Linked DNA regions of Caenorhabditis elegans. The gene in region 1 interacts genetically with each later gene. Each region holds a gene or a part of one and is shown in the gene's direction. Other genes may lie near its edges.

Region 1 (9,672 bases):
CGTGTTTTTTGAAATCGGCAAGCAAAGCTCGAATTTTCCCGTGCAATTCACCAATTTTCCCGTGCAATTCGGTAATTTTCCACTGCATTTCGGCAATTTTCCAGTGTAATTCGGCAATTTTCCAGTGCAATTCGGCAATTTTCCCGTGCAATTTGGCAATTTTCCAGTGCAATTCGGCAATTTTCCCGTGCAATTTGGCAATTTTCCAGTGCAATTCGGCAATTTTCCCGTGCAATTTGGCAATTTTCCAGTGCAATTCGGAAATTTTCCATTGCAATTCGGCAATTTTCCAGTGCAATTCGGCAATTTTCCAGTGTAATTCGGCAATTTTCCCGTGCAATTCGGCAATTTCCAGTGCAATTCGGCAATTTTCCCGTGCAATTTGGCAATTTTCCAGTGCAATTCGGCAATTTTCCCGTGCAATTTGGCAATTTTCCAGTGCAATTCGGAAATTTTCCATTGCAATTCGGCAATTTTCCAGTGCAATTCGGCAATTTTCCAGTGTAATTCGGCAATTTTCCCGTGCAATTCGGCAATTTTCCCGTGCAATTCGGCAATTTCCAGTGCAAATCGGATGATTTTTCTCGTTTTCTCGCAATTTTTAAAAGAAAACCCAAAGTTTTTCAAAAATTTCAATCGAAATTTGATAATTCGAACCATGCGAAAAAGCGTGAATTTGTAATTCTCTCTGAATTGTTGCAAACCGCGGGTGGGGGGAGTGAAAAACGAGAGAAAGACGCTCCCCAATACAATATAGACACCATCAAATTTAAAGAGACGGATGCGCTTGCTCTGTGTCTCTTCTCTCTCTCTCTCACTTTTTTGGTTGAAGGGACGTTTCTATGTCTCTTTCTCTCTCTCTCATCTCTCTGGTTAGGTTGATCGTTCTCTGGTGCACTCTGTCGATTGACGTACTATTTCTTGTGTATGTGTCACCTCCCCAGTGTCCGTCCGCAGGTTTCTCTTCGCTTACACCAGACCACCTTTCCACGCTTTGTGTCAAATCAGCACTATCGATTGATTTGAACTTTTTTTTTTGGAATTTTTTTTCTGGTGGGGGGATTTTCGACCAATTTAAGTTAAAAATTTAAAACAAACTTTTTTTCAAAAAATAAACTTTTCGGTTTAAAATTATAAGAGTATTTTAAATAGTTGACTTTTAAAATTCTTTTGCGAAATTTGAAAATATCGAAAAAAAAAAATTCTTTTTCTCCTGTCATATCTTTAATTTGACGACTTTTTCTCGAAAAAATACCAATAAATTCGGTAAATTTCCGTTTTTAGTGAACAAAAAATACATTTTCTCTGAAAAATACAGGAAAATTCCGTTTTTGGTGTAAAAACCGAATTTTTAATAACAATTTTGTTTAAATTTAACGGATTTTTGAGTTTTTTTTTTAATGACATGAAATAATTTTTCTAAAATTTGTTAAAAGTGAAATTATCAAGAAAATGCTCTGAAAAACTCCGATTTCTCGGATTTGTTAATCGAAAAACGGAAAATCCGAAATTTTTGGTATTTTTCAGAAAAAAAGCGATAAAAATCTTATTTTTTTCCGCTAAAACTGGAAATTTTCGGGATTTTTCAAAAAAAAAATCGATTTTTTTTTGTTTTGAAAATTGAAATGATTGCTTCTAAAAATAAATGTTCTAGTTTTAATTTAACTTTAAATTATTTATTATTGATATTTTTTTATTAAAAGTGACGAAATATTACCGCAAATTCCCCATGTGATCATTATTTTCTGAACAAATGATGACATAAAAAACACCTGATCTCCCGGGAGAGGGGTCGAAAAACACTTTTTTTTGTTGTTTGAGAAAATACCAGAACACTTTGGAATTTCGCAACGACGAAATCAAATCTTTTAGGCTTCTTATAGTTTCTTATCGCCAAAAAATTGATTGAAAAGTGATAATGGAGACAGTTTTTTCTCGTTTTTGCCACGATTTGTGTGCTTTGAAACTGAAAAAAGTCAATTTTTCAGTGAAAAACGGAAAAAATTACGAATTTTCTTGTTTTTTTGTTTCGGAAAAAATTCATTATTTTATAAATTTTATATTTAAAAATTGACTTTTAATATATACAATAATTTCCATTTTAGACTCTTTTTTTTCTTTTAATTGTCATTTAAAAAAAACCTGAAATTTCAAAAAAAAAATCGATTTAAAAGGAGGATTTTTCTTTTAATTGCAAATTAAATATAATTTTCCACATTTCAAAATGCACGAAAAAAAAATCAAAAATTTAAAAATTCCCAGAAATCGACAGAAAAATGTGTTTTTTTTGTGCGTTTATTTCTATTATTAATTATCGTATCTCTGTATCTCTCTATCTTTTTCACAAAAATCAATCGATATTCCCATTATCTTAATAATTTTTTACCTTCTTGCAGGTTATACGAACCAATTTATATATTGTACACATTTGGATGGGCTGATCTCTTTGGAAACACACACCACTCCGTGCTGCTCCAAATTATCACTGCTTTTTTCCTTATTAATTACAAAAAATACAAATATCTATAATAGTACCTAATTAATTTTTTTTGTGATAAAAAATCCACAAAAACACGAAAAAAAAACGATGGCTGACGTGTTCGAGTTCGAGCTGGAAGGCCACGAGTCACAGGCATCGCCACAGCGTCATGCGTGAGTTTTTTTTTTTGGGTAAAAACATACAAATTGTGGGGAAAATCGGTTTTTTGCTTTAAATTTTCTGCGAAAATTGATGAAAAATTGCAGATTTTTCGTATTATAAAGTCAAAATCTGTACAGTTATAATAAAATTGATAAAAATTGAAGTTTCTGTAAAAACTTGTTAAAAACTTTAAAGGTGTTTTCACGAAAAATTTAAAATTTGCACTGGTTTTCAGGTTTTTGTTATCGAAAAAATGCTAAAATTTCGAATATTCCACAAAATTTTTCGGTTTTTTGAAAAAATTCAGATTTTTCCGACAAATTCGAAATCTGCAGTTTTTTGGAGAAAATAATTGCATTTTCAAATTTTCTACAATTATTGTAGAAAACTGGTGAAAATTTCGATTTTTTCCAACTAAAATTGTGATTTTCTGGAATTTTAGATTGAAAAATGACATTTTCGACTGTCAAAAACTGTTTTCTGAGCTGAAATATGCTAACTTTAACAAAAAAAATTTTTTCATAATTTTCGGAATTTCCGAACATTCCACAATTTTTCAAAAAAATTTACAGTAAAATTTTTTATCTTAAAAATCATTTTCTAATTTAAAAAATTCATTTTTTTTCAATTTTCCGATTGCACCAATGATCAGTGCTTTGTGTCATTAATCAGGTGATAACAGAGAGGAAACTACAGAAAATTGACATTTTTTAGACTAGAAAGTGGATTTTTTTGGTGAATTTTTCAAAAATTTGCGGAAAAATAAGCGAAATACAGAAAATTCGGGTTTTTCAAATTTTATCAATTTTATTCGAAAACTGTGCGGATTTTGACTTGAATAATTTTAAAAATTGGAAAATTCGCAATTTTCCATCAATTTTTTTTTGGAAAAAAAAATCTAAAAGAAAGCGTTTTTTTCTTCAAAACTGTGTGTTAAAAGCGAAAAATGGCTGAAAACTTAGAAAAAAATGTTTTTAATTTTTATTTCAGATATCACTATGACAACTGCACGGAAATCATGGAGGACGATCACATGTACAGCAATGTTGCTGATGTATGGTTTTTTGACAAGTTTGAGAGCTAAAAAAATCTATTTCCCATGCGAATATTAAGAAAATTCACGATTTTTGCCGTTTTTGACGGTCAAAAACGCTGAAATTCGCCCCGAAAATGCAAAATTTTTGCCACTTTCCCAGCTTATTACCTCAAAACTAAAAAATTGTGAAATTTCACCATTTCTCACTATTTTGCCGGCTTCTGACAATTTCAACGTTGCTGAAACGCTGAAATTTGCCGAAAAATAGTTTAAAATTATATTTCTGTGGTTTCTGTGCCTTTATCCTTATTGTCGACTGGAATTCTGGTATTCTCGGCTGAAAATGCAATAAATACCGTATTCCGGCCAACAATTTGCCAATAGAGCACATTTACCACTGGAGATGCGGAAGCTATGCTCAAATTTTAATTTTTTTTCTCATTTTTCCAGGGACAAATTTCTGCTCCACCGCCGAGCTCATCGTATATGGAGGATCCGATGATGGAATCGATTCAACTGTGTGCCAGTGCAATTAATCCACCAAATGTTCGTGTTGGACCCGAAGATTTTCAGCTTTTGAAAGTTCTTGGCAAGGGAGGATATGGAAAGGTTCGAAAATTGTCGTTTTTCTCAAGAAAAAAATTAAAAATTGTAATAAAGTTACTAAAAAACTGAAAAAATCCATTTTTAGCACTAAAAATGCTGAATAAATAAAAAATTTTAAAAAAATTAGCAAAAACTCAGATTTGGACTTTTTTGCGAAACTTCTACAGAGAAAACCATGAGAAACGTTGAATTTTCGATAAAAACCTGTAGAAAAACTCCAAAAATCAGCTTAAATGCGAAAAAATTACAATTTTGCTGCAAAACCCTGTAAAATAATTTCCACAGAAAGTACATTAAAAAAAATAAAAATCTTACTAGAAATTACTAAAAATTACAATTTTGATATTAAAACCTCTGACTTCCTTTTTTGATTAAAAATTCTACAAATTTCTTTTTTCTTTTCTCTGGAAAACCTGGAAAAATGTCAATTTCAATTTTTCACTCAAAAAAAGCCCAAAATCGCAACAGAAAAAAAATCAATTTCGCCTAAAAAATTTAAATTCTGTAAACTTCAATTTTTCCCAAAAAAAATGTGCGACAGAATATTAAATATGGTCAAAATCGCCCGAAAAATGTGAAAATTCTGAATTTCCAAAAAAAAAATCCACCTAAACCCTGAAAAAACCTTTTAAATTATGCGAAAAACGAAAATTACCATTAAAAAGCGGGGGAAAAAACATCAATTTTCAAAAAAAAACTCCGAAAAAATGAATTCAAAAAATTGAAAAAAAAAACTTTTTTCGTAATTACAATTTTATAAATTTCATTAAAAAATTTCCAAAATCGTAAAAAATCCAATTCCTACAAAAAAAGTGAAAGTTTTCAATTTTTTGCAAAAATTAACAGAAAAATCGCCTTAAAAAACAAAATGTTGTAAATTTCAAATTTTTGAGCAAAAACGAAAATAAAATCGAAAAAATTGAATTTTAATACAAAACCCACCTGAAAACCTTCTGAAAAAAAACACTTATTTTCTTAGTACAATTCTATAAATTTTTCAACAAATTCCAGGTATTCCAAGTGCGAAAAACGACGGGCTCCGACAATGGCCAAATCTTCGCGATGAAAGTGCTCCAAAAAGCGACAATTGTCAGAAATCAAAAGGATACAGCTCACACGAAAGCCGAACGAAACATTCTTGAAGCAGTCAAGTCTCCGTTTATTTGTGATTTATTGTACGCATTTCAAACCGGTGGAAAACTGTATTTAATCCTTGAATATCTATCTGGCGGCGAATTATTCATGCATTTGGAGCGAGAAGGAATGTTCATGGAGAACGTCGCAAAGTTCTATCTCTCGGAAATCGTCGTCTCTCTGGAGCATCTTCATCAGCAAGGAATCATCTATCGAGATTTGAAGCCAGAGAATATCCTTTTAGACGCCTATGGACACGTTAAGCTCACAGATTTTGGTCTTTGTAAGGAGGAAATCGAGGGAGATCAGAAGACTCACACATTCTGTGGAACTATCGAATACATGGCACCGGAGATTCTGATGCGTTGTGGACATGGAAAAGCTGTTGATTGGTGGAGCCTCGGAGCTCTGATGTTTGACATGCTCACTGGTGGACCACCGTTTACCGCTGAAAATCGCCGAAAAACGATTGACAAAATCCTGAAGGGACGGCTTACTCTGCCGGCCTATTTGTCGAATGAGGCTCGAGATTTGATCAAGAAGCTTTTGAAACGCCATGTGGATACCCGGCTCGGCGCGGGTCTCAGTGACGCGGAAGAGATCAAAAGTCATGCGTTTTTCAAGACTACGGACTGGAACCTGGTCTACGCACGGCAGCTTGAAGCCCCATTCAAGCCGAATATAGAGAACGACGAGGATACGTCGCTGTTTGACGCGCGTTTCACAAAAATGACGCCGGTCGATTCGCCGTGTGAGACGAATTTCAGTTTGAATGGTGATAATCCGTTTGTGGGATTCACCTATGTCGCACCGTCTGTGTTGGAAATGATGAATAAGGGAGGACATGGTGGAATTTCGGTGGCACATTTGGCTTCGTCTATGTCGAGAGCTGGTGCTGCGAAGAGCCCGAGAAAGTGCGTGGAATTTGTGGGAAATTTTTGCGAAAAAATTCGAATTTTTAGAAAAAATCGCCGAAAAAAAAAAACTGAAAAACTTAGAAAATTTGCTTTAAAAACTGTTAAATTGGTATTTTTTAGAAAAAATTGCCAAAAAAAAATTTCAAAAAAATTATGAAAAAAAGAACAGAAAAATAGGCATTTTTCGAAGAAAATGCCGAAAAAGGAAAATTGGAATTTTTTATTCAAGAAATCGCCATAAAAATTGGAATTTTTATCCGAGAAATGCTAAGAAAATCTGAAAAAATCGGATTTTTTCTAAAGAAATCGCAAAAAAAAAGGTTTTTTTTTTCCAAATAAATGAATTACCAACGAAAAAATCTAAAAATTGAATTTTTTCGAAGAAATTCTCATAAAATCAGAAAAATTGGATTAAAAAAAAAAAAGAATAATTTACCAAAAAAATCTGAAAACTTCGAATTCTTAGAGAAAATTTTCTTTAAAATTTAATTTCCGCATTTTTTTGGGAAATTTCTTAAAGCTCCAAAAAAGCAAATTTAAGGAAATGTATCAGTATCAGACTTTCAGAAATTTCCCTAAAATTATGGAAAATTCCAACAAAAAAAAAGGAAAAATGGAATCTTTTGAGGAAATTGTGAAAAAATTGGAATTTTTTGAAGAAAATTCCGAAAAATTGGAATTTATAGGAAATTGTCGAAAAAAAAGAAAAGAAAAATTGACTTTTTTCAAAAAACTGCTTCAAAAAATCTGAAAATATATTTAAGAAATTAACAATCTCCAAAAAAAAAAAGTACAATAAAAAATAATTCCAAGCCCGGTAGAGAAAGTCCAATTAAAGAAAAATTACTATAAATTTACCGAAAATTTTCTTTAAAATTTGAAAAAAAGATCAGTTTTTAGCAATAATTTTTTGAATTGCCAATTTACTAAAAAAAATCCCGAAAAAAATTTAAAAAAGCCTTTTTTATGCAATTTTTCTTAAATTTAAAATTTCTCCAAGTATATGAAAAATCCCAAAAATTTGGAATTTTTTTTCAGGCCAGGAGACCCAGAAACGGCGAGCATTCTTCACGGTGGTCACTCGAATTTGTTCGGTCACGGACCAAATAGTGAAGCCCCACAGGCTTTTGGATACGGAATTGGTAGTCAAATGACTACTACTACTGCTGGAGGAGCAGGAATTCAACAGCCATATCAATCATTTAGTGGTGGATATCCAGAAGATGATGCAATGGATACATCTACACCACGTGCTAGTGAAAGTCGTGAAACTACTACTGGAAATGGATCTACTACGACGACAAGACCATCAAATGTTGGAAGTTCTGCGTCAACACCTATTCCATTGCCGAAAAGGGTGATGTAAATGTGTGGGCGGAAAGGTGCGGAAAATTCAAATTTCCCCGAAAAACTTACAAAAATTGGAGTTTTCGTAAAAATTCCACGAAACAATTGTGAAAATCAATTTTTTCACCAAAATTCACCTTTTTTCCATGGAAAAAGCTGCGAAAATTCATAATTTGTACAGAAACTGATTCAATTCTCAACTTTGCATAAATTTTGATCTAAAAATTGAAATTTTCGCGCGGAAAAATTACAAATATAGCGTGGAAATTGTTTTTTTTTTCCTACCCATGAAAACACAGTTTTTTGTGGAAATTCCATTATTTTTGTGTAGAAAAATATTGAGAAATGACTTTTTGGAATGAAAATTGCTTTAAAAAAATTGATACAAAAGGTGTAAATTTTTTTTAAGAAAAAACATGCAAAAAAGGGTGAAATCAGTGAGAATTGCCGATTTTAAGCCGAAAAAATTCAATTTTTGAGAAAAATGTGTAATAAATTGTAAAAATTAATTTTTCAAAAAAATTGTAAAAATTCGATTTAAAAAAACCGAAAAAAGCGGAGAATTTCCACTTTTTTTTGGAAATTATTTTTTAATGGAAATTGAAAAAAGTAAAGTTATTTACTAGAAATTTATTTTCACATTAAATTTCACAACACGAAAAATGTAATACAAGTTTTTTTTTTCAGAAAATTGCCACACACACACACCTCTACACAAAATGCTCAATATTCATTCATGCTTCTTCTCCTTAACGTGTCGTTGTTCTTCCACTTTTTCTGAAAATTTTCACACAAATTTTCGAATTTCTTGTATCCATTTTTCGTTCGTTCGTTATTTTTTTTATTAACTTTACACTCTTAATGCCGATTTTTTTAAAAGGCGCTTCATCATCCCACCAGAGATTACGATCTGTGTGGACCTCCCGCGGGGACCAATTTCATGTGAAAATTTCGAAAAAAATTGATAATTTTGGCACTTTTTACCCCTAAAATTGAGTCTCGGCAGGGGGGTCGAATAAATACGGAGGTACTTTAATCTCTGGCTTGTTTTCATGTTTGGGATTCTTTTTTCTCTTTTATGCGCTCACTTTTTTTTCGTTCTTTACTCGTTTTTTTTTGTCTTTTTCGTGTAATTTTCCCTGTTAGCTCCCCTTTTTTTCGATAGAGCGCATTTGCATTTTGGAATTTTCAAAAAAATTTGAAATTTGCTTTTTTGCCGGGAAAAATTGACTCAAAACTCGAAATTTTGAAAAAATCTTAATTTCAGCTTTTTAAAAACAATTTTTCTGAAAAAATATCTCCAGAAATTTTTTCAAATTAATCTGAAATTTTGGGGTAAAAATTACAAGTTTTTCTTTAAATTTTTTTAGGATTTTCCGTGAAATTCACAATTTTTTCTTGAAAAACCGCACTCTTGGATTTTTTTGTCTTAAATTCAAAAATTTCGATTATAAAATTGCAAAAAAAAACCATTAAAGCAAACGCGCTCCACCGAGAAATCTTCAAGGGATACACACACACTTTATGCCGGGATTACGGTAGTCATTTTTGCTCATTTTTTTTGCTCTCCTTCCCCCAACTCGAACCACTATATTTGCTTCCTACCAACCCAACCCCTTTCGAGTATTATCTCGTGATATTCAATGTTTTCTTTATTACTATTATTATTAAATTTTCTTGTTGTTGTTGTTGTGAACAACCACCTCCCTTCCACCTCCCAAAATCAAAAGTGCCTTTTATAGCTCTGAAAACATTTGCCTTATTTTGTTCGAATTTCTTTTCTGAAAATTAAAAAACCACCGCAAAAAATCCCATTTTCCACAAAAAAAACCTTTTTTTTGTTAATTTTGGGCCAAATAAAGATGAATAGGTTTGACAATTATCGAGGAGATTCTACCTGAAGAGTGAGTTTTTTTTTAACACAGAGTGTAACAAATCGATCAAATAAAAAAGAAAGATAGCCCCCTTTTGATAAGGAGGACGTCTTCTTT
Region 2 (6,582 bases), on another chromosome or scaffold:
TCAAGCGCAAAGTCAGGTTTTCAAACATCAATCTTTTTGAACGTTATTTGTTTAATCAAACTGTATAAACTTCAAGAAACTTTCTAGAAAAAAGAATGAAATAACGGCAAACCGGATATTTGTGGCATTATTTTTGCTTGAGTTGGATTTCAAGCAAAAATCTTCAATCATTTTCTAGCACGTCAAGTAAAAAGTAAAGCTTTCAAGCTTTTGCACCTCCTGATACGAATAATGAAAACATCATTAATATTTTAAACCTGCAGAAAAAATGGTTTTCCTGGTCGACTCTCAAAACTATGACCGATGAAAACTAAGTAATATCCACTTTATGGTGGTAAATAAACATATTTCAGATTACGCTCAAAAATATTTTATGACATTTGACAATTTGAGGATTATTAAAGTAATTTTAGCATTTTCCCCACTATACCATCTTTAATAAAAGAAAACTCAGTTTTCAATGTGATAAAGTGATATAAGAAGAATTGAACTAAAGGTGAGGGAGTATAAGAAACGAAATGAAATTGTCTTCTTTATCTTCCTGTCTCCTCCAGAACACTTTCCCTATCTTTTCAATTCATTTTGTGGTGCTCAGTGAGCATTAGTGCGATGTACAATCTTCAGAGACACAGAGACAAGACACAGGAAGGGGTTACAACCGCAATGAGCAAAATGTTTCGGACATTACTTCAAGATTGAAAGACGACACCTGACACAACACGACCTCTTAATGATAATATTGTTCAAAAAAAAAACTATTGGCATTTCAAAATGTACGATTCGACGATGGAATATCTTGTTCACACACTTTTATATATACCAGCCGTTCGCACACGCAAAGCGCGTGCTCCGACTGGCGTACGCTAAATTGTTTTAATGAATTTTAAAGTGCTAATGTAGCATTTTTGTACAGTTATACATTCTCCTGGAGTTTTGCGGACTTTCAAGAAAATTCTACAACTTTCCAGGTTTTTCTTTAAAAAATTCCCAGAACTTTTTAGAAAATTCTAGAACTTTTCGGATTTCTTCAAATTTTAAGCGCTTCCAGAATTTAATAATATAATTTTTCTAGGTGCTACAAGCTTCCAGTTTAATCAAAAAAACTGACCTCCAGGCATATAAATGACCGCATTTTTTATTGGGAGATTTATTTAGTTTTCGTAATTTCAAAAATTAATATCTGACTTAAATTGAACTTTTTTGAAAATGTTTCTTCGGGGACTTGTTTCAAATTTTAAGCGCTTTCAAAATTTAATAACAAAATTTTTCTAGGTGCCAGAAGCTTCCAGTTTAATCAAAAAAACTGACCTCCAGGCATATAAATGACCGCATTTATTTATTGGGAGATTAACTAAGTTTTCATAATTTCAAAAATTAATATCTGACTTAAAATGAACTTTTTTGTCGAAGAATTTTTTCAAGAAATAATTACTTGAAGTTAATTCAATGTTTTACTGAAAACCCATGTTAAAAGTATTAAAACTTGCTATTGAAATTTTATCTAGAAAAAACTATTTTTTGAATTACCTCTGCTATGGGGGAGGCAATTGTGCGGTGGAGCGCACTTGCCGCCCATTTATTATTTTTTGGCAGCAAGGTTTTCTCCAAAATATTCTATTTTTTAATGTTTTCTTTTGTTTTTATTGAATATTTTGCTCTTTATATATGCAAAATTTTGATTTTACCAATTTTCATTCTTTGAGGTTCTTCAAATCTACAATGTGGCGTAGTTTACCGAGTTTGGTGTCTTCGGCTGTTCGGTTAGTTGATAAATCGAAGTTTGTTGAATTCCAGTTAATTTTTGCTTCTTTTAGATCACAAAATGCCGTCAACACACGATTTTCCAGTACAATGAAACAATTTTTCGATGATGAAGCGAATTTTGGAAAAGCAGAGCTCCGCCCGAAACATCGGCCGGGCAGATCGTGGACAGCAGAAGAACTGAGATTAAAAAGCAATTCAGATTTGCATAAGCTTTGGTAATTTAATGGCAATTCGGTTTTAAATTTATTAAAAATTTAAATTTAAGGTATGTGTGCTTGAAGGAGCGAAATATGCTGATAACGATGAAAAAAGCGCACACTTCACGTGCCCGGAACATGCCAAACCCAGAGAGACTTGATCGTGTTCATGAGGTATATTTTAAAAATTTAATAAATGCAAAATGATATATTTCAGACAATGGATCGTATAGAATCAGTAGTTCACGAGCGAAATGATGCGGTCTTCCGTTTGGAAACTGGAGAATCCGCGGCTCCACGCAAGAGAACAATCACTTCATTCGCTGGATTTACATATCAGTGAGTTCCTGATAAAATTAATTTTTTTAAAATAAAAATATGTTCCAGAAAACAAGCCACAGAACACTTTGCACCACCTCAACTCGGCCAGAAAGAATACGAAACTCCATATCTCGACGACGATGCCTACGTGATGCAGAAGCTTTGGCAGGAAAAAGAATTCATGAAAAATCGAGATAGATTGGATGATGAGAAGAGACGAGCGGCACGAACAGAAGACATGGACAGATTCAAGAGAGGAGCTCCACGAGTTTTCAATCGATAAAAAGTTGTTTCTAGATATTTTTTTTGTTTTCGAGTAGGCTTTTAAAAATGTTGTTTGCTTTGCTTCCTTCCTCAGTTTATTTAGTTTTTCAAAGAATATCCATTGTTCTTTTTTCTTGATATTTTGAAATATGCAACGGGTTTTGTCAGCCCATAGTTATCTGATATTACAAAAGGCTCCGTGTTGTTCTCATATTTTTCATTGAAAATCCCTTGATTTACATAGGAAAAAAAACCTAATTTTTAGCTGAAAAAAATTTAAAAAGTGGTAAAAAATTACCTGAAAGTTGTCTATTATCGAACTATCAAGCTATATTTTTCTGAAAACGGCCAGTTTTGAGCACTTTCTTGATTATTTCAGCTGGAAATAATTTTATTTTCGGAAAAAAACCAGTGATTTTCTATGCTTCTGATCATTCTCATAACTTTTTATTCTTAACGTAATTTTAAGCCCACAATGCACTAAATCGGCAGAAACATCTTTGAAAAATGCTCCAACAACACGGAATTAGTTTTCAAATGAATGCCGATAGACAGAACAAAGCAGCCACAACTTCCAATCGAATAGTCTCCGCTCCAGCTACAAATGAATTTGACGAGCGGCATCGTAAAGTTAGTATTTCTTCTCCTTTAAACAATTTTTAAGGAAAAAAAAATCATATTTCAGCAAGGGATTGATGCTGCAAGAGCTCTTGCTTCACAATATCGGAGCCGAATTACGGAAAATAGAGATGCAAATCAACGACAGGCTGCTCGAGAACTCAGCAGGTAGTTTTTTTTTTAAATAAAAGTCAATAAATTAAATATATTATTTTCCTCAGATATGTTCGAAGTGAGCTGAAAGACGAGCCAAATACTTTTAGTGATGCTTTCCTGAATGCAATCGATGGACGAACAGATATAGCCTCTCAGAGTGCAATTTATAATTGTATGAAGTCGAATTCAAATATCGATCAGAAACGAGCCGGTATCTATCTCATCGTGTGCTTAGCTGAAACTCATTCTGGAAATGTTATTCGATATGCGAATTATCTTCTGAAAATGTTAAATAATGGAAATGGATTAGATGAAGATACAGTCAAGATGGCTTCAAAAGCTCTCGCTTTTCTGATTGCGGTAAGTAATTTAATTTTTTTTAAACCAATTTTAAACATTTGCAGACTTGTAAATCATACGCGGCCGAGCTGGTTGATCGTTGTCTTGATCATTGCCACGAATGGCTTGGTCAAAATGTTCCACATAGTCAGCAACCCAAAAATCAACAGGAAATTGATCAAATTCGTCGACTCGCCGCTTCACACCTCTCTCGTGAGCTCGCACTGGCCACACCGACAGCATTCTTTCTTCGTGTAAACTTATTTTTCAAGTATATCTTCAACGCTGTCAGAGACAAGAATCCAGCTGTAAGAATCGCCGGAATTGATGCATTACACGTGGTTTTGACAATTGTTTCACAGCGTGAAGCAAAGAATAAAACTGAGTGGTTTAAGGTGATCAATTAAAATTTTGATCTTTCGTTAGAATGATTTTATATTCCAGAAATGTTTCGATGAAGCACTGGAAGGTCAACCAAACCCATCGCAAAAGGACGATTTGGATAGATGGCATGCCGTCGCCCTGATTCTCAATGAACTTCTTCGAATTTCTGATCAACGATTCGAACTCATCAGATGTGAATCCTCACAGTTTATTAAACAAAAGTTTTTGAAAGAAGACGAAGAAGAAGGTGTTGAATGGCTTGTCCTAACTAAGTAATCGATTCTTTTTCATCTATTTAAAAACTTGTATTTTTAAGGCAACAAACTATTGTGGAAAGTGTGACTGCTCGAAAGCTGGTTTTGGAACGATTTCCGAAGGTAAAAGCTGAAATTCTTCATTTCCCGAAATTTGTTATGTTTTTTTCCAGATACTCGATTGTGTTCGTCAGATAATACCTCTCGCAAACAAAACTTCATCCACGAAACAGCAAAGCTCGATTTACCTGAATACAGTTCTCATGCAGCTTCTACCAAGAATTTGTGCATTTCCACAATGTGATCGAACTTTTCAAACAATCTCATTCGACACTTCATTTACTATGTACGTAGAATGGAAGAGGACTGATGTTTATGGGCTTTTAGCTTTTATAGACTCGAAATGCGCTAAAAACGAATTTTGTAACGAGACTCAAAAAAAATTATGGTGATTCAAAATTTCCAATAATGTTCAATTTTTTCAGTCTTCAAAGAAATGCGGTCGCTGCTCCAGCAATCGGAATGATGATGCTCTCGAATCCAGATGTACATGCCACACATATCGAGAAAACAATCAGTTTTATCTCTGCTGCTATCAAGTAAATTTGAAATTAGTACACTTTTTTTAATAGTTAAATTTTGTAGAAAAACGACGAATTCTGATGTTCTCGATAATTATTTCACATTCCTGTTCCTATTTGTGGATGCTTATCACGAACAAGTGACGACACAAATCAAGGCAATAATTCCACAATTAATGGATATTACCCTGTCTCGATCGCTGGCAAACGTGCTAAAAATGATTATGATGAGAATTCCGAAACTGCGGCTGAATGTTCAAGATGGTGTTATGGCTTCTGTCTATCAAACACTCACTGGATCTCTAATTCCACCAAAATCCGAACCGATTGGAAGGCCTGCGAGTCCTAAAGCTATTTTGCAGGTTTGTTTCGTAGAGAAATTTTATAATTTTGCTCGAAGTAATTTTTTTGAATCTGAAAAGCACATAACATTTTTTAAATAAAGATCAGAATCCCATCAGATTTAAAAACGCTTACAATTTTATCTTTTTTGAAATAATTTTCCGTCAAAGTTTCGACATTTTTCTATATTCGAACCAAGGGCGTCGTTAAAAATTTGTATGATTTTTCGCTTTTTTCAGATATGTTCGAAAAACAAAAGACAGAGAAGCTATAAATTTATCGAAATTATCTTTTGAAAAATAGAGAAATGACCAGAAATTTTTCGAAATTTTTGATTTTTGTTTCCAGAAATCGTAAATTTAAAAGCCGAAAAATCGAAAAAAAAACCTAAACTTTGCGGGGTTTTCAAATATTTTCATAATCAGCAAAATAAGAAAATAGAAATGGCGACTTTTTAAAATTTAAATTTTTCGAACAGATTTCCTATGATATTTTATCATGTTAGCATTAACAATGGTTTTAAATATATTTCTCATTGGCGATATTTCTGTTGTGCAAAGAAGTAAATTCAAAAAATCTCAAATGAGAGTTTTGGGGTTGTATTTATGCAAAAGATTTATATTTCAGAAAGCAGAAACCGATCCAAAAGAGCTTCAACGAATCGTGCTGGCTGTCGATGTGCTCGGTGAATTCTATTTCTCAAGAGGTGCCTTGCAGAGAATCATGCAATACGTTGCAGATGTACGTTCGAAAGTTTTCTCGATTTTTCTGTAATTTTGTGGTTTTTCAGTACTACTTGACAGCGGACAATGTGGAAATCCGTTTGGCTGCTGTCTCTTCGTGTTGTGAAATGGTCGTACCATTTGTTGGAGTTTATAAAAAAGTTACAAGTGACAAGAGAAATAGTCTTCTTCAAACTATTTATGGTGTGCTGCGAGCTGTTTGTTCGGTTATTGTTAATGATCAAGGTAGGTATTTACTCGAAACTACGGTAACTGGTCGAAACGAGAATTAACCGCCTTTAAATAGCACTGTAATTTTAAAGTTTTATTTTTTTCGAAAATCGATAAACGAAAAAAATTGAATTTTCAATAATTCTTCTAGTCATCTCAATATTTTGGATTCATCATTTTTCGAAAAATCTATTTTTTTATTGTCTCGTCCGAACATCTCTCAATTTTTCTCGATTCTCAAAAAATGACAATTTCCCTATGATTTTCTGGAAAAAAGTCGGAAAATTTTAATGAAAATTCCGTAGCAACAAAAGTTTGAAATTACAGTACTCCTTAAAGGCGCATACCTTTTTCTATTAAAACAATTGTCGTGTCGAGACCGGGTACAGTACTAATGGCGCAAAATTGT
Region 3 (8,002 bases), on another chromosome or scaffold:
TCAATTTTTGTTTTTTCATTGATTGTTTGACTCTCCAATTGAACATGAAAACCACTAAAATTAATGGAATTGTAAGAGCCAACACCGATTCGACCGTATAGAATGGGTGATCCAAAATCATCCAATACAACTTTTGAAACTGATTTCGTATATTATTCATCTACAAAAATTGAGAGATAAAAAAAAGTAACTTAAGAAAAATTAAAATGAAGTAGACAGAGTCTTTACACTGAAAAAGTCTTTACTATTCATAAAATGGATACTGAAGTTATAAATTAAAACTTTATTGATAAGTACAAATTTGTCGTTTTATTGGTACAACGAAGCTGAAATCACAGAAAATACAGAAAAAACACTGAGATGATAGAGACAAGAGTGTGAGAGAAAGAAAACGGAAAACCAGGTCAGTTGTTGGGAGGATAAAGCAAATAAGAGGAGGAGCGACACTTGAGCACTTCAGCAACCCGTATGGAGGACAAGTGAACTGTACTAGTTGAGAACAGACGATTGGCTGATTTCTTCCCAGTGCATATCGGTTGGAAGTCGTGCCTTGATTTCTCGTCTGAAATTGGCACAATTTGAATATGAAACAGATATTCGTAAAATACGTTTTTTGTGACAATTAACTTTAAAGGCACACGTCACTTTTCTGAGCGGGTCTCGCCACAATCACAGCAGTAGTTTAAAAATTTGTAGAATTTAATAGTAGCCAATTTTATATAGAAAATTAAATTATGAAATTACATATTAAGGGAACAATAAATCATGAGAATGCGTACTTGGTGCATTTTATTTGACGCGCGATATCTCTTAGCGAAAAATACAGTAAGAACTCAAATAACAATAGATATTTAAGCTCTTACTGTAGTTTTCGCTAAGAGATATAGCGCGTCAAATAAAATGCACTAAGTACACATTCTCATGATTTATTGTTCCCGTAATATATTAAGCTGTTCAGAAATTTCCTGAATTTACCTCAAAACGGTATGATTATATATTTTTTAATTGGGCTCTAGCAAAAATGTGACCGAAGAGAAACAAATCTATAAATATTGGATACGTACCTTTCTTCATAGTCATCAATACTAACTCGGAAAATCGAAGAAGCAAGTCTTAGTCCGAGATTTCCGTAGTAGCAAAACCTCCTTCCAGATGCTACAAAACATTTCCACATGGTGCATAGAATTATCTCTCGGAAAATTCCCCTGAAACAATTACGACGATTTATGGATGTTATTTTCGAGAAGTTTGATTCTATTTCGCTGTTTGAATTGGAGAAAGATAATTTTAAATATTTGGAAACTTCGAATTCATTTAATCAATTATTTCAGTTTCATTTTATGAACATTTCTGGATTTTGTTACAGTTGTATTTTCTATTCCCATCTAATAATACGAGAGGAGAAAAATAAAACAATGTTCAAATTTGTAAAACCCCATGATAGTTTTTTTTTCAGATATTCTTACTTTGTTCCGTTCATCATTCCAACGAAACCGGATACAGTTCTCCATGTTATCCATAAATCAACAGTAATTTCCAGCAAGCCAAACTTATCGATTCCAAAGCGAGGAATTGTCCAGGATTTCCATGATTTGAGTGTTAATTGTTTTTGATATCGTGTTCTGGAAATTGGAATATTCAGAAATTTTCTTCAATAAACTTTAATTAACGTACTGGCACTGAATACACATAACTTGTTGTACAGCATTCGCTTTCGAAAACCACATGGCCAGGCATTGATGATGAACCCACTGAAAAAAAAGTTGGAGTGAAAAACTAGAATTATTCGCGAAAATCGAACAGTTTCTCAAGGTTATAACAAAAATTTTTCAAGGTTCCTGAACTTTCCTAGTTAATTTTAATATCAATTTTCGCAATATTTATTTTGATTCGATAAGCATATTGATTCATGTATCTCTTTTTTAATTTAACACTCATAAATTTAATTTTTCTATTCAATAAGCATAAAAAACATTTTTCGAATATGAAATCTCACGTGAATAGATCCTCGACATCGACACGGATGAACGAAGCTTAACGCATTATCACTTTCCGTTCCGAAGCAGAATTTACAATATTTCTCGGTTTCCTGCTCATTTCCGTCGATTTCTAACGCCATCTTCCGTAACGGTTTGTTTATTTGTTTTTTTTTAATATAAAATCTGATTTCCAAAGAGGAAACCGGATTTCTTTGGTAGATACTTGAAAAGCGATGTGATGAGGGAGAAATAGCGTGCAAAGAGAGGAGAGTTGTGTCGATTTACGCGAGTTGGAACTATGGCAGGCAACTTGTCGCTACGAGACCCATTGTCTCTTGGCTCAGCCTAAATTTATATCGATTTTTCGGAAAAAAACAAACGTTTTGTTGTTTTTTAAACTTGATTTTTGTTTCATAGGTTCAAAATTTTAAATTTCGATCAATATTTATTTCTTCAATGTTTTGAAATCAGGCATTTCGAAATTTATTGATTTCCGGTTGCGAAATTGGTTAAGACTTTGTTTACTTTCTGTTCTGACTGGCGATATCTTTGGAATTTACTCATAATTTTTGTTAAGTTCTTACAGATTCACACGGACTAAACGTAAAACCACTTCTATGCGATTGTATTTTATAGTTTTCATCGATCCATGTAATTTCTCTCGGTGTGCACGTTCTTTAAATTCTGTCGATACATGCACATCTTCTGCTCTTGAGTATGAAGGAGACGATGTGCAGTCATTTTTTATTGTTGACATCACCAGTTTAAATAATCGATATTCTAAACGCTGCGTTCTGCACTTTTTCTGTTCTTGCTATCTGTAGAGAAAACACTTTTACCTTCACTCTGCTCTTATTTTGAAAAATAACGTTATTCCTCCTCCCTCAATTTCCCCTTCTCTAATTATTCTCTATCGTTTTTTATTTTATTAAAACTCTTTTCAGTGACTTCCTCAAACTGAAAGATTATGTCAAACGCTGTTAGTAGGGGGCCTGGGAGAGGGAAGCCGAATCAAGGTAAGTGCTCACGGTTTTTGTCAGTTTTCTAATTCCTTCAAGGTTTTCATTCAGATCACAATGCAGTTCCTATGCAGGATTCATCCCAACAATTCGTGATGCCATTTGTTAACACATCTGGCCCAGTGAACTCAAAGTAAGAAGTTGAAAATATTTTCCATGGCTAAAGTTCTTTTTCAGCTATCAAAGAATGCCAATGAACCAGTCGGCGTATCCACAATATGGCCAACAACAATACAACCAACCACAAACAAATCACTATTATCCGCCACAAGCACCACAGCACCAGCAACAATAGTAAGTTTTTTTTTAAATATTAAATATATTTAGCTTATCATTTCCAAAATTTTACTCACACTGAAAAATAAATTTTCTTAAAAATATGAGTATCCCAAACGCTTACTTCTGTTACCTACCAGTTTTTCATGAATATCATTTTCAGTGGTGGATATCAGCGACCGGACTATGGTCATCAACCACAGATGTACAATCAACAGTACCAAGGCTACCAAGCTCCTCAGCAATACCACCCAGAAATGCCATATCAACCAGCTCAGCCAGCACAACAACAGATGACTCATACAGCTCCACAAGAACCTAAACGGCAAAGGAAAGCACTGGAAATTGTCGATCCAACTACGAAAAAGGCAATTGAAGTGACGCCTCATCTTGCACCAGCTGCACCAGCGCCAGCGGCTCCAGCAGCCCCGATTGCCCCAGAGGAAGAAAAGAAAAAACAAAACATTACTTTAGAATTCTTGAATCAGGTCAAAAATGAACTACATCATGAAGACAGACGACATGATAATCCTCCTGCGGTCCCAGCTGCGGTCCCAGCTGCGGTGCAAGCTGCTGTACTTCCCAATTTTAGCGTACCACCGCCAGCCCTGGGACAGACACCTCCAGCAGCATCCATAGCTCCACAAGTTGTACCGTCCGTTCCGAAAACTCCAGAAGCACCAGCAAAGGCTGATTACGAAGTAAAACAAGCAGAAACCCTTGTGACGCCTGTTTCATCTCCCCATGCATCAGACACAACCACCACTACGCCCGCCAGTGGAACTGCAGAATCAGCATCTACTGTAGCTGATGTCAGAGTTACTCCAACACTGACAAAGGAAGAATCAAAAGAGGAAACTGATGATGATAAATTTGAGGAGAATGATGAAAGAGAAAGTACGCCAGACGTTGCTGACTCTTCTACAGAAAAGACTCCTGAGGAGCTGGAAATCGAAAAAGCACAGAAAGAAGCCGAAGAGATTGAAAAGAAAAAACTTCGCGAGGAAGCTTTAGAGAAAAGAATCGAGGAGCTTATCCTGGCCGGAAGTGCTGTCATCTCGGATGGAACTTTTGGAAGAGATTTCATGGTTACTATTCGCGAAATTGAAAAAGTTTTCTCTCGGACCCCATGTCCACTGTCACCAGCTCAGCTAGCTGATTTCGGATTGGATATCAAAACGATGCGAGTTTCTGATAATAAGAAGCCTAATTTCACACCAAACTGGGCAAACAAAGGAGGAAACCGCCAGCAGGTTGTAAGTTATCATTATTTAATAAAAGCCATAATTCAAACAATATTGTATTTTCAGCCATACCGTGGAAGAACAACCACAGATGGAACCGGGCGTGGCGGTCAGCAGCAAAGAGATCGTATGCACAACAAGCGACCACCAGTTGTTAGACCTTCGATTGAACGAGTTCAGAGAGTTACACTTCCATCATCGAAAGATGCATGGAAGCCAGACCGTCAAAAAACCGCGGAAGCTGTTGCAAGCGAGGAAGCTGCGGTTATTGTAAGTTATTCGTGATTAATCAAAACTATAAACTGTTAAACCAAATTTCAGGAAGTTTGTAAGAAGGTTCGGTCTCTTATGAACAAGGTGACGCCTACATCACAACGTCCTCTCACCGAAGAATTCATTTCCTACAATGTATCCTCCAACGATGCGCAGCTCGCTCAAGTTGTCGAAATCGTCTTTGACAAGGCAGTTGAAGAGCCAAAGTTCTGTGCTTTGTACGCTGAAATGTGTAAGGCTCAGGCGAATCATGAACTATCCCAGACCGGCGGAAAGTCAGCCTTCAGAAATAAGGTTTTGACTCGGACGCAGATGACATTCCAGGATAAAAAAGACATTGATGCAGACAAACTGGCAATCATCGAAAAAGAAGAAGATCCAGTGAAAAAGGAATTGATGCTTGCAGAGGAGAAACAGAAATTTAGACGGAGAAAGTTCGGAGTTATGACGTTTATGGGTTATCTGTATAGAAATCAACTTTTATCCACAAAAATCGTCCAAACGTGTACATTCGAATTGTTCAATTCGATCAAGGACCAAGATATTAAAAAAGAGGATGTCGACGAGGAATCTATTCACTGTGGTCTTCAACTCATCGAGACTGTAGGCGTGATGTTGGATAAATCAAAAGATTCCACGACCGTATTCCTTGATCAATGGTTCCAGAAGTTGGAAGCTGCCAAACCTTACTGCTCAAACAAAATCCGTTTCATGATCATGAATCTTATGGAGCTTCGCAAAGACAAATGGATTCCAAGAAAATCTACCGAGTCTGGACCGAAAAAAATCGATGAAATTCACAAAGATATTCGTCAAGAGAAGATTGAAAATGAGAAAGCTCGTGATCAATATGATCGGGATCGTGATCGTCGTCATGGAGGTGTCAGACCAAACAGCAACTCTCTCAGAAAATCAGTTCCAGTCTCCAGGAATTCATTGGATAGGAACCGAGGAATGCAACACCCTGAACAAAAAAGAGCCGCTGCTGCAGCTAACACAAAACTTGCCTCATCGAGTAAGTATTTTCAGACAAATATTTCTTCAATATTAATTAATTGCAATTTCCAGGTGTTCAACCCAAAAACATCTCGCTCTCTTCGATGGATAATAATACTCTTGGGAAGAGCAAAAAAGAGTGGCATTCTGGTGCTTCTGGTGGAGGAAACACTTCTTCCGAATCTGCCGTTCCAGTCAAATCAGCTTGGGGGCGACGTGATTCCAATGATCAACGCAAAAAGTCGACTGTTGACGAGAAACAGGCCGCTTTAGCTGCTGCAAAGGAAATCAGTGCAATGTCAATTTCTTCGCGGCGATCCACATCACAAAATTCGAATACTGACAAGACCGACGATGAGCTGACTGAAGAAGAGAAAGCTGTCAGAGCCAAGATTATGAATACCGTTAAATCCGATCTTCTAGAAATGTCTAGTGGTGAGCTCTCCCAAAAGGAATTGGTTGACTCTATCACCGATTATGTTGGAAAAGAAAAATACGGTTCGCCGTCATTGACAGTAGTCTATGAGATGATTATCCGAGCTGTGATCGAAAAAGGTTTGAAGGATGATGATCGAAAGAAGTTGGCTATTGCTCTGCGGATGTCATTGGTCAGCAAGACTGAGAAGCAAGCTTTTATAGAGGGGTAAGGCAAGAGTTTATGATTTATTGAGCTTTACAAATTATTTCAGAGCTACCCGTTTCTGCAAATTCGCTAATGATGTTGAGCTCCAGCAAGATTATCCCAAATTGTGGACCGTTACTGGTGAAGTTCTCGTGAACACAAGTCATGCTCCACATGACGAAATTGGAGAAGTTGAATCTTTCTCATTAGCGGACATGAAGCCAATTTTCTCAGCTGCCAAAGGAGAAGGAAATAAGAAATTTGACCTTCTTGTTCAAGTTTTGAAGCAATTGGTGAGTTATTGCAAATTTTAGTGCTCAGATTCAGTACATTGCGTTTATTTTTTTAATTTAATTTTTTTCAGATCGAGCTTGAGCTTGAAGTGACTGGCGCTGCAGAAGGAATCTCGTGGGAGTTTTCGGACATGAAGTTAAAGACTGAGATGGAAGAAGGACTTTCAGCAGAAATGGAAGCAGTGACGTTTAAAAATGGAAAAACGTTGTCGAGCTATTTGACGGGCAACTAATTTATCGTATTTTTGGATTTTCAAACTCCACAGTAGATTTATAGAGAACTTTTTTGTGTGCTAAAACCCATTTTAATTATCTATATAAGAACGAGTTGTTGATAATACGGTCTAAACATGTCAAGTTTTTCGTTTTTTCGCCGCGCGTCCATCCCTACCGATTTTATGTCTTATTGGGTATCCCATTAATGGTTTTCGATATTATTGCTTGTTTTTCTTTTGTTAGAGGTTTGCAAGAAAAGTTTCAAAATGAATAACTGATTATCATGATTTAGCTGAAGTAAATCAATTTTCAGACATTCAGATCATTTTTCCTGCAAACTTCCGCTCATTCTACAACTCGTCTCGAAACGTGAAGATTCTCTTCATTTTTCGTTTCGAGACGCAGAAATCAACTCGTTATAGCCCCTTTCCCACCCACCTTACCCTTTTCTTCTGATGATCACTAAAAATATCACGTTTTCCTCCAAATCATTAAATATTTATATCCTCATTTGGATTCCCGTTTCGTTTATTTGCTCCCAGTTCCCATTTCTTTCATTCGTTTTTCTATTTGAATAACCCTTTCATAGTCTCCTTGTTTATTGTTTCTAAATTAGCTGTTGGTTTTTTATTGGTTTCTCCCTTCATATTTCCATACCAGTTGGTCCCGAGAACATTTCTTGCTATGCTTGTTTTCGTGCTTAAAGGGTCTTTTCTAAGAGACGGTCGAAAAGTCGCTGAATTTTTTCGGAGTGCTGGAATTTCGTTGAATTGCATCGAATTTATCGTAAAACGAAGACTTTTGACTAGCTCTTAGCTTCATTTCTTTTCCAAATTTCCTAATTGTGTGTAAGTCAGTGCCTTCGGTCTGATTCCTGGATCTTCTAGAAATTGTGACAATTGGTTAATTTTAATATCCTCTCATCAGCCCATCTTAAATTTTCCACTTCCTTGAATTCTACGTTTTTCCTGTTTTAACTAATTGTCCTTCCGTTATTATCATCATCACCACCTCCACCACAAATAAAAATGGGCATCAAAATTGTTTTTTTTTTTTTTCATCATAGTTCTTGTTGGGGTTGTTC

The links.
Region 2: of rsks-1 (region 1) and let-363, changing one suppresses a phenotype caused by changing the other (phenotypic suppression), as found in Caenorhabditis elegans (one study listed by BioGRID).
Region 3: of rsks-1 (region 1) and ifg-1, changing one enhances a phenotype caused by changing the other (phenotypic enhancement), as found in Caenorhabditis elegans (one study listed by BioGRID).

Annotation. Positions count from the first base shown.
Region 1 is NC_003281.10:11,242,724-11,252,395, forward strand, and holds rsks-1 (Ribosomal protein S6 kinase beta), read left to right. Parts: upstream 1-2,396; 5' UTR 2,397-2,587; coding exon 2,588-2,652; intron 2,653-3,631; coding exon 3,632-3,695; intron 3,696-4,127; coding exon 4,128-4,286; intron 4,287-5,294; coding exon 5,295-6,331; intron 6,332-7,372; coding exon 7,373-7,700; 3' UTR 7,701-7,716; intron 7,717-8,368; 3' UTR 8,369-9,558; downstream 9,559-9,672.
Region 2 is NC_003279.8:5,242,728-5,249,309, forward strand, and holds the start of let-363 (Target of rapamycin homolog), read left to right. Parts: upstream 1-3,015; 5' UTR 3,016-3,053; coding exon 3,054-3,176; intron 3,177-3,231; coding exon 3,232-3,332; intron 3,333-3,385; coding exon 3,386-3,680; intron 3,681-3,724; coding exon 3,725-4,054; intron 4,055-4,103; coding exon 4,104-4,315; intron 4,316-4,359; coding exon 4,360-4,420; intron 4,421-4,470; coding exon 4,471-4,643; intron 4,644-4,782; coding exon 4,783-4,896; intron 4,897-4,942; coding exon 4,943-5,240; intron 5,241-5,847; coding exon 5,848-5,961; intron 5,962-6,010; coding exon 6,011-6,188; intron 6,189-6,582. Other genes in the region: mrpl-47 (Large ribosomal subunit protein uL29m), read left to right, coding at 1,666-1,760, 1,815-1,979, 2,030-2,135, 2,179-2,300, 2,349-2,565. UniProt on the Caenorhabditis elegans protein: Serine/threonine-protein kinase that regulates the mRNA translation machinery, probably by modulating the activity of translation factors such as eIF-4G and eIF-2. It may have some protein kinase activity instead of lipid kinase activity.
Region 3 is NC_003280.10:8,214,308-8,222,309, forward strand, and holds ifg-1 (MIF4G domain-containing protein), read left to right. Parts: upstream 1-2,946; coding exon 2,947-2,995; intron 2,996-3,037; coding exon 3,038-3,131; intron 3,132-3,175; coding exon 3,176-3,292; intron 3,293-3,437; coding exon 3,438-4,530; intron 4,531-4,584; coding exon 4,585-4,788; intron 4,789-4,839; coding exon 4,840-5,806; intron 5,807-5,859; coding exon 5,860-6,430; intron 6,431-6,476; coding exon 6,477-6,702; intron 6,703-6,773; coding exon 6,774-6,935; downstream 6,936-8,002. Other genes in the region: M110.10 (Small integral membrane protein 15), read right to left, coding at 1-160; M110.3 (E3 ubiquitin-protein ligase MARCHF5), read right to left, coding at 490-562, 1,065-1,205, 1,467-1,622, 1,675-1,751, 1,997-2,119.